2 linked regions of the Daphnia pulex genome follow. The protein of the gene in region 1 binds, or shares a complex with, the protein of each later gene. Links are inferred from orthologs where the notes say so. Each region holds a gene or a part of one and is shown in the gene's direction. Other genes may lie near its edges.

Evidence for each region.
Region 2: the proteins of GTP-binding nuclear protein Ran (region 1) and nuclear pore complex protein Nup50-like are in contact, whole or in part, in a crystal structure (PDB 7MO0), measured with the Homo sapiens proteins. The link is inferred for Daphnia pulex from reciprocal best matches to the Homo sapiens genes RAN and NUP50. Residues at the interface, in NP_006316.1 of Homo sapiens: Arg29, His30, Thr32, Gly33, Glu34, Phe35, Glu36, Phe52, Val124, Asp125, Ile126, Lys127, Ser153, Asn154, Tyr155, Phe157, Glu158, Phe176, Ala178, Pro180, Ala181, Leu182, Ala183, Pro184, Glu186, Val187, Asp190, Pro191, Ala194, Tyr197; in NP_009103.2 of Homo sapiens: Pro344, Pro345, Lys346, Val347, Val352, Lys362, Cys363, Lys364, Phe366, Tyr367, Lys368, Asn371, Glu372, Phe373, Lys374, Glu375, Lys376, Gly377, Ile378, Lys384, Lys390, Gln392, Leu394, Arg396, Thr399, Asn400, Leu401, Asn403, Ile404, Leu405.

Annotation. Positions count from the first base shown.
Region 1 is NC_060020.1:1,357,924-1,362,715, forward strand, and holds GTP-binding nuclear protein Ran, read left to right. Parts: upstream 1-2,152; 5' UTR 2,153-2,305; exon of another isoform or gene 2,306-2,362; intron 2,363-2,490; exon of another isoform or gene 2,491-2,588; intron 2,589-2,719; 5' UTR 2,720-2,732; coding exon 2,733-2,975; intron 2,976-3,033; coding exon 3,034-3,222; intron 3,223-3,281; coding exon 3,282-3,497; 3' UTR 3,498-3,634; downstream 3,635-4,792. Other genes in the region: uncharacterized protein LOC124192239, read left to right, coding at 2-1,321; NFATC2-interacting protein-like, read right to left, coding at 3,720-3,994, 4,148-4,292, 4,361-4,450, 4,526-4,792. UniProt on the Homo sapiens protein: GTPase involved in nucleocytoplasmic transport, participating both to the import and the export from the nucleus of proteins and RNAs. Switches between a cytoplasmic GDP- and a nuclear GTP-bound state by nucleotide exchange and GTP hydrolysis.
Region 2 is NC_060026.1:3,790,814-3,795,147, forward strand, and holds nuclear pore complex protein Nup50-like, read left to right. Parts: upstream 1-1,925; 5' UTR 1,926-1,988; intron 1,989-2,054; 5' UTR 2,055-2,064; coding exon 2,065-2,223; intron 2,224-2,405; coding exon 2,406-3,118; intron 3,119-3,180; coding exon of another isoform or gene 3,181-3,187; coding exon 3,188-3,322; intron 3,323-3,385; coding exon 3,386-3,704; 3' UTR 3,705-3,893; downstream 3,894-4,334. Other genes in the region: uncharacterized protein PF11_0207-like, read left to right, coding at 1-93. UniProt on the Homo sapiens protein: Component of the nuclear pore complex that has a direct role in nuclear protein import. Actively displaces NLSs from importin-alpha, and facilitates disassembly of the importin-alpha:beta-cargo complex and importin recycling.

The DNA of each region.
Region 1 (4,792 bases):
CATGGCATCTCAATCTCCCATCGGTTGTTCTTCTCAATCTTCCTTCTTAACTGTTGACAAAAAACATGAGATAGAGATGGATAATCTTCAATATCTGGCACCTGCTTCCATTCTAACTCCAAGTCCTAGTCCTTTATTGATGCCAGTTGATTCAAATTGGATGACACCCTCAGAATATCCTGTTCATTCATCCTCTACCCATATGAAAGCACAGTTTACTCGTGTAGCATATCCGAATTCACAGGAATCTGTTACGAATGTTCCACCAATTCGAGAAGTTGTAATGCCAGATCGTTACTCAGCAACAGCAATGGAACAAGAAGTGATGATGGAGACCACTTTCCTTGAAGACTCCATGTCCAAGAAGACCCCTGATTTATCTGATTGGCATTGCAGTCCACCTTTTCAATTTGAGGATGTGTCGGAAGATGTTGACATCTCTAACAAGGATATGCCATTTTCCCATTTCACGGAGAAACCTCAAATACCTAACGTGAAGCTCGAGTCGCCCGCTATTTGTGAAGACATTTGTTGGGAAGGCAGCGCATTTGATCCACTCGATGACAGTCGTCTTTGTTTTACCCATTTCCTGGAACCTCAAGATGTCAAAGAAATGGATCAAGAAATGGAAATGGATCCATTATTCATCACCACTGTTGCACCAATTGCACCTCCATTTCTCGTTGCTCCCGTCCTTAACCCACCGTTAGCCGCTGGGAAAATAACTGCCAATCCCTTTCTTCTTTCCGATTTTCCCGAAACAACAACACCTCTTCAAGCAAAAAAACGATTGATCGAAACCAATGTAAGCCAATCTCCCAGAAAATTAACAAAAATGGCCCCGCATGTTATGCCTGTGAAAGTTGAATTACTTCAACACAATTCGCCGGTTTGGTTGGTGAAATCTGAATTCGAGGAATCCAGTGTCATTGATCCCGACGAGATTCGACTGCTTCCCTTCGCACCTTCACATTTGGAATCACCACAAGAAGCTACTACAAAAGTCCCATTGAGTCGTCCTTCTACATCTTCGGTACCAAAGTCAAAAGTTGACATAGACGTGGATGAAGAAGGTAATTTATTCGCCACCATTCGTCTGATTGCCCCATCGCCTTCCATCACATCAAACAAACTTAAGGCATCAAAGAATGTTAACTGCAAAAACAAGAGGACTAGTAATCACTTTGGGCACTCTGGAAAAAATCCATCATCAAGGTTAAGCACAAAAAAAGAAACAAGAGCCAAAAAAGAGGACCCATTTTCTGTCAAGAGTCTGATGGCAAAGTTCATTGAAGCTGCAAAAAATAAAAAAATCTCCTAACTTTGATAACTATATATGATAAAACTTGGAGTTCCATGTTTATTTCAGATTATTTTAGTTTATTTTTATGTGTGCATGATTAGTTCGCCAATGTGGAATGTGATGACTACTGAAACCCCCTATCCCCATATTCCCCTTTGTCTTGCGTTTTTTGTTTGGATCCTCGTTCAAGTAGTCAGTTTCGCGTTGAGTTACAAACGAACCGGTATCGCATCAAAATGTTCGTCATAGCTTTATCTCCCAAGATTTTATACACTGTGATGAAACCTTCCGAAAATTATTTTGTAATAGTTCATTGATATTTTGTTTGTAAAACAAAACTCGCCATTATTTTTTGTAACCCAGAAATTCATCGTATCAATAAATACAGATGCTTGTATGAATGATCGCCTCCGTTGTTATTTTTCTTCGAACGGTTGATTTTATAACATACAATGAAATAATGACTAACAAAAAAAACAGCAATCATAACTTTGACAGAAATATTCATCATGCTGCTACCACGTCTTTTAATGTCCTATTAATTAATTTATATACAGTGATGCTTATAGGAATTTCTTTCTTCTTTTAAAAGGTAATTTCATTTGAATTAAGTGCTACTATCCTTTTTATTAACACATTTAGCATTTTAATCTCACACAAAATAAATATATTGTTGATTAAAAAATTAAAAAACATCATCCCGTTAATAGGCCTGAATGAAATTCAACATTAATAAATTACATTCAAAGCTTTAGACAGGCTTTAGAGAAATAGAGAGCTACAGCCCTGCTACAGCCTACTTTCCATTTTCAAATTCCAACCGTCTTTTTTTCAAAGAAAAGGAAAATATTCCCGCCGTTTCTCCTAGTGAAATTTGGCAACATCTCGCTAGGAATTTTTTAGAGCCACCCATTTTCAGCCAGCCTTTACGCTACCAGAATTTTTAGAGACCAGTTTGGTATTAGAACCGCGCGATTGTGAACCTAAAGCTTAAAACCGCCGGTGAGTTAGATTTATCTTCGAATATTGTCCACATCCTTCATCTTTTCGTTGTTTTAAGTAAGCAGTAATGTTTCTTTTGCCAATCTCTTTTTAATTCGGCATGGAAAGTATTTTAGTCATCATAGTTATTTTATTCTGCATTTTTCAAGTTGTAACCTCTAACAGTCATCTTCCTCCATCAAAGACAACGCACTAAGCTAGTCAGTGGCGGTAAAACTGTTCTGTGGTAGTTGTTTGAAATAGTCCCTTTTTTCTCTTGACATTAAACATTGACAGTTAACTTGTAAGTGTTCACGAGTGTGTAAATTTTTAGAAAAATATATTTTGTTGTCGTTAGATTAAGTTCCAGTAAATTCTTGTTGAATGACGCAATCAAGTCTGATCGATTCACTTATCTTTTCTCATTATTTGTAGGATTTACAACAGAATGGCTGCCGAACCTGACATGCCCACTTTCAAGCTGGTCTTGGTTGGCGATGGTGGTACCGGAAAAACCACTTTCGTTAAGCGTCACTTGACTGGTGAATTTGAAAAGAAGTATGTGGCCACACTTGGTGTGGAAGTTCACCCTTTGGTTTTCCATACAAACCGTGGAGCCATCAGATTCAACGTGTGGGACACTGCTGGTCAGGAGAAGTTTGGAGGTCTCAGAGATGGATATTACATTCAGGTAAATGTCAGCATACTTGTATTCACATGGTCTCGACTGACTTTCATTTATCTTGCAGGGCCAATGTGCTATCATCATGTTTGATGTAACCTCTCGTGTCACCTACAAAAATGTTCCAAATTGGCACAGAGATTTGGTCCGAGTTTGTGAAAACATCCCAATTGTTCTTTGTGGCAACAAAGTTGACATTAAAGATCGTAAAGTCAAGGCCAAATCCATTGTCTTTCACAGAAAGAAGAATCTCCAGGTATGTTAATTGTGCTACTAAATTGTAAATGCAATTTGCTAAATTTTGGTTTCATTTAGTACTATGACATTAGTGCCAAGTCAAACTACAACTTTGAAAAGCCTTTCCTCTGGCTAGCACGTAAGCTAATTGGAGACCCTAACCTAGAGTTTGTTGCTATGCCTGCTCTGCAGCCACCTGAGGTGCAGATGGATCCTAATTGGCAGAAGCAAATTGAAGGTGAATTGGAGGAAGCTCAACACATTGCACTACCAGAAGATGATGAAGACTTGTAACATCAACATATTAGGATTTAAGCCACTACACCCTCCCACAAATTTTTCCATCTGTGTTTTCTGCCTTCTATCTTAACCAATTTTTATTTGCGAGGTATGAAAATACATTGTGCGTCATAATACAAAAGTCTTTCGAATTTTTGTTTATTAGTGCATAATTTATTTGCGCAAGGGAAAATATACAAAGTAGTAAAGTTAAGAAAAATGTAGTGAACAAATAAACTACTCTCTAATGAAAACATCGATACACTCGCCACCTTCAAATTCCAGACTAGACGGTGTGTCATCTTCTTCCAACATTTCGCCGTCAAATTTAAACTTCAATTTGGACAAATCAATCCCGGTTGCTTCCGCATACTTCTGCATCAAAACTGCCATAGGGTCTTCGGGGCGCATTGATATAACCACTTGTGCATTCCGGTTCTGACTCTGAACCTTTAACTCCAACAATGTTTCGTTGGAGCTGACGACAACTCCTTCTTTGCAGACTGAAGCATCTGTTAAAAAAAAGCACTGTTACAACGTTCGCTAATACCAAACCCAATCGTCCAAAGTTTTTACATTGGAAAACCAATTGACTTCATGCCAGGGTTGCTAAAACCGATTTATGACGCTGAAATGGACTGTAATTTGAATGACAAGTAACATACCAATGATGTCTGATATCCCAAGTGGCACTGTTTTGAGACTGTCATAGTCATTCAGTAGTTGATCATTGAAATATAGAATTATTTGTCCAGCATCCACATCAGTGATCTCTGATAATTTCTGGCAGATGGTTTTGAAATAATCAGCCTGAATAATAGTAATAATAGTAAAAATGTAGTGGACTAGTTATTGATATGTTGGATGTTGAAGGTTACCCTTTTGATTTCTATCCTCCACACTTTTTGGGCAATGAAGCGAACTTTAACTACCACTATTTCATCACCATCAAGGGTCTGATTCAATTGCTGCACAAAAATATAGAAATATATAGGCAAGAGAATATAAAAGATTATTTACCAAAACCATTTTTCACTTCTTACCGAATCATTCAACGAAGCACAATAGAGTGGGTCCTCCTCACACTCAATTTCATCTTGTATTGCTGCAGGTACTTTACTGAGTTTACGTGATGTAAGATCTTCTGAAAATGACACTTCAGGTGATATATTGATGCAGTCTTCTATGTCTTCTAGAGTTTCCACTTGTCTGTCTGTTTCTTCGTGAACTTCTGTTTCATCTAAATCAACTTCTTGAATTTCTCTGTTTGGAACTCTAAGTACTTCTTCATCACTACTTTCATCAATCTG
Region 2 (4,334 bases), on another chromosome or scaffold:
AAGGGATACCGAACCACTGCTGCAGTTAGAAGACCTATACGATTTATTGACGAAATCCAGCGTATAGCGGTGAACCATATCAACCGTATTTAACCTTGTAGCGTGGTTGCGTTGGCTAAAAAGGAAATGCTTTGACACCTTAATTGTATCTTACTGTGTAGGATCGTATCGGTGCCCGTTTACTCGTTTAGCCATATGTATCTCTTGAATCGGGCATCATACTATTTAAACTTGGAACATCAATAATACTGGTAAACTCTTAACGCCAAACCTAGTTATCTTTATTCGGGGGTTGCTGTTTAGAAATCGAGGCCGCAGTTGAGTGAATGCTGTCTTTTTGTAGTCCAGCAGCAACCGCGGTCCGTTTATAAAGAAAGAAGAATAATCGTGGAATGGAAAGTATAGATTCACAAGTATATGTGTGCGACATACAGTATACGGAAATAAATCATTCGCTAAATGAAACACCGTGGGGTTTTCGTTTGCTCGTCCGTCGCAGAAGGAGAAATTAGATAATTGTAGATAAATAATACCAGTTCTCGAAAGATGTTAATATAACCGAAATGGTGTTGGTTCAAACTTTTTTTTTTCCATCGGCGATCTAGTTGGGTTATCTCCTTGTATACATTTTGGCGCTATTCGTCTTCTAGCTCGTTGAGATTTCATCGTAACCTTTTTTTTTTCTTTTAGAGTATTTCAGTTGGGCCGTCCTCCAGCGTGTGCAGCCAATTGAAGATCATCATATTCCTCATGTATTTTGACAGTGGCCGGCATTGATCACGTTCGACGTCGTTGAGAGTGAGGGCGCTTTTGATCCATGTGGCATCCAGCGGAGATGAATTACCGCCAGATCCGGCTTTGGCACTCAACGACTCCTCACCGCTTCCGAAAGGCTGACACTGTGACTGCTCCGACTGCATCGTCAGATCCACCTGGCCACTGGCCGCCTCGGCAACGACGGCAATCTGATCGAGATTAAACTGGCTCTGCGACAGACGCTCCAGCGCCTTGTAAGCTGTCAGGAGCCGGGGAAGTTTTTGTATGTTATACATTATCACTGGGGCACTAGCACTACACAAGCGACACCAAATGGGATTTGTTGGCAACTTATCAACGATAAGTTATTATCTTTGTAAGGACCATTGTGAGTGACTGACACAGGCCGGTGCGATTTTTTATTTGAAAGTCGTTTGGATTTAATTGACTTGTATTGTGTAGTAGGGTGATACACACCCGGACATTTTTTTGCGGTAAACCAATTTTACGAAATTCAATTTTTGCTTGCGATTTCTTTCTTTCTTTTTGGGCTGTTGTTGTTTTCTTTTTGTATTTATTTTTTAAATTGCGTACTAGTTATGGATATTGACATAATTCAAGTACTCCCGTTATTTGAAGATTTTGCCCTTTCTATCTTTTCTCATGTAAAATCCAAATCCGTGCCTTTCAGTCAAATTTATGTTCTTATTTGATTCGAGTGCACTGTTCTTTGTGATTCTTGTTCGGCTCATGTTAGACTATGCGTTCCTCTAGAAGGTTTCTTCATTTATTACCATTCGACGACAAGTGCTGGAGATTACACCAAGGTGACGGTCTTGGGCGGCAACACCCGCACTCATATTGTCACTCATTTACTGCCCGAGACGCACTACGATCTGAAGATGCAGTCCTTCAACATGCAGGTACCCGTTCAGCAGCAAACTTTCGTTTACATTTCTATCCCACCCATGGAATGTCGTGAAGTATAATTTCTCTTCCACTTTGACTTTGCCGTGAGCTGGGTACGTCTGAATTCTTCTTAGGTAAATTATCGGCAATTTTTAGGCTATTCACTCATTGAATGGAATTTTATTTATATTCTCGAAAGATGGGTACGACCTCGAGTAAACGATGTTTAAAAAAAATGTCTGGCAACATTGTTGCCAGACAGTGTTGCCAGAATTTTTTTTCACTGGCTCGAATCGTGTGAAAATCGTGTGAAACCGGAAATTGTAATTTACTTTCAGTTTTAAATTGTAAGAGTAAGACTCCGTTCAGTTGACTTATTAACCCAACAGGTAACTTCAAATGGCTAAGCGTACGGCGACTCGAGAATTAAATCACGACAACTGGAATGACGAAGAAGAGGAGGAGGAGGCGGGAAGCTTCCAACAGGCTTCGGACGAGGCATTAAAGGGCCGTGTGATTAGACAAGCAAAAAGAAGGATTGCAGGCAATGATGGAGAGGTAATTTATTGTGCTAAGTAACAATCTAGTCAATTGGTTAACTAGTATTTAAGTGTGTCAGATGTTTTCCACATATTTCTCAGGTTTTTTTGTAACCAGGTTTGAATGAATGACAGAACTACAACCGTGTTCCCAATTCCAGAATATTTTTTTACAGCGTGTTTTATTTTATTCCCTTACAGGCGAAGAAGGGTTTTTCTGGGTTTGCTGGTTTTGGAGTTCGCACAGGTTCTGAACCCAGTAAAGCATTCTCCAACTTTGCTATCAAAGTACCAACTACTGTAGAAACAGGCAAGACAGAAAATGGAGAAAAGACACCAACTGATAATGGGGCTAATGAAAAAGAGTACCTTGCCAACCTAAAGTCTCTGAATGAGACTGTTACAACATGGATTACAGACCATGTAAAAAAGAACCCATGCTGTGTACTCACTCCCATCTTTCGAGATTATGAAAAGCATTTGAAAGATCTAGAATCCAAACGAGCTTCACCATCTTCAAAAGAAAACATGACTACTGAACCTGGCAAGATTGACAGTGAGAAGCTTGAAGACAAGAAATTCCAATTTGGTTCTGCATCAGCAGAAGCTCCAAAACCCTCTTTCAGTTTCTTCGGCAATGGGTCGACAGTTTCTACACCGGCCAAACCACCCTCAACATTTTCATTCGCTAGCTCAACGCCGACAACAGCACCATCGATTTCAACTTTTTCCTTTGGCGCCCCTGCTAAAAGTGATCAAGAATCAAAGACTCCGTTATCGACATTTTCGTTCAAGGCATCCAGCACTAGTTCAACCACTAGTCCACCTTCTACCGGCGGGTTGTTTGCCTTTTCCGGCACTAAACCTGCTGCTACTACTACTACCGCACCAGCCTTTTCGTTCGGGTTTTCTAGGTAGTAATCCAACAAATCAATTTTTCATTTTAATGTCTTTAATTCGTATTATTATCTTTGTGTTTCTAGTACTAAGCCGGCAACAGAAGTGAAAAAGGAAGAAGCGGAAGGTGGTAAAGACGGCGAGGAAGGAGAAGATGAAGACGTTCCACCTAAAGTGGAAGTTAAAGAAGTCAAAGAGGAAGACGCCTTCTATTCTATAAGGTACAAATTTTACTTTTATTGGCTTATTTTTTGTGTTTTAACGCTAACATTTTTCCCGCTCAGATGTAAACTGTTTTACAAAAAGGATGCCAATTACACGGAAAAAGGTGTTGGCACAATCCATCTAAAGAAAGTCAAGGACGATAAAACGCAACTGGTGATCCGTGCCGATACCTCGCTGGGCAACATTCTTCTAAACATCATTTTAAACCCACAAATAACGACCCAGCGAATCGGCAAGAATAATGTCATGCTGGTTTGCATTCCCAACCCGCCTATTGATCCAAAAACGCCGCCTGTCCCGACACCCATGCTCCTTCGTGTGAAGACGGACACTGAAGCCGATGAACTCTTGGCCAAATTGAACGAAGCAAAAAAATGATCGACTTGGGTCAGTCATGCATAATTTGAGTTCTTTTTGTTTCTTCCATTTTCTTGTGATCCCCCATTTCACTATTTTATTCATTCAATTATTTTTTTACGATCTGTACAATAACAATCCCCGTTTGAGACGACCGTGATTTCACCACAGGCAAATTTCAAATCAAATTCAATACAAGTAAGAACCTAATATGTAGTTTCTTTTCTTTTTATTGTACGGTTGATTCAAAAGAGTGTGGAGTATGCCGTCATCACGAATCACGATGGAATGTCGTATTTATTCCGGACTGACTGGATGGTAACATTCTTGGATGTGAGCCGTGAGCCGACCGAGATTTAATATGTGATCTGGTTTCAGCATTTAGAACTCGAAAGGAGATGACAGACGAGCTCTGCGGAATGGGAAACCATCACGTATTGAGTTATCATAATTTTTTCGTATCAATATTTTCCTGTCCAGTATGTCACTCATCGATCATTTCCAACTTTAGGAGGAAAAAATAGTCAAACCGACTACGCTACGGTTAAGCCCCTTTCACTTGGTATTTTTTTTATTTCTCAAGATTTTTTATGGCTTTACGTCATGGCGTATCAGCGTTCAACTACATGTCTTTATAATCGACTAGTCCCA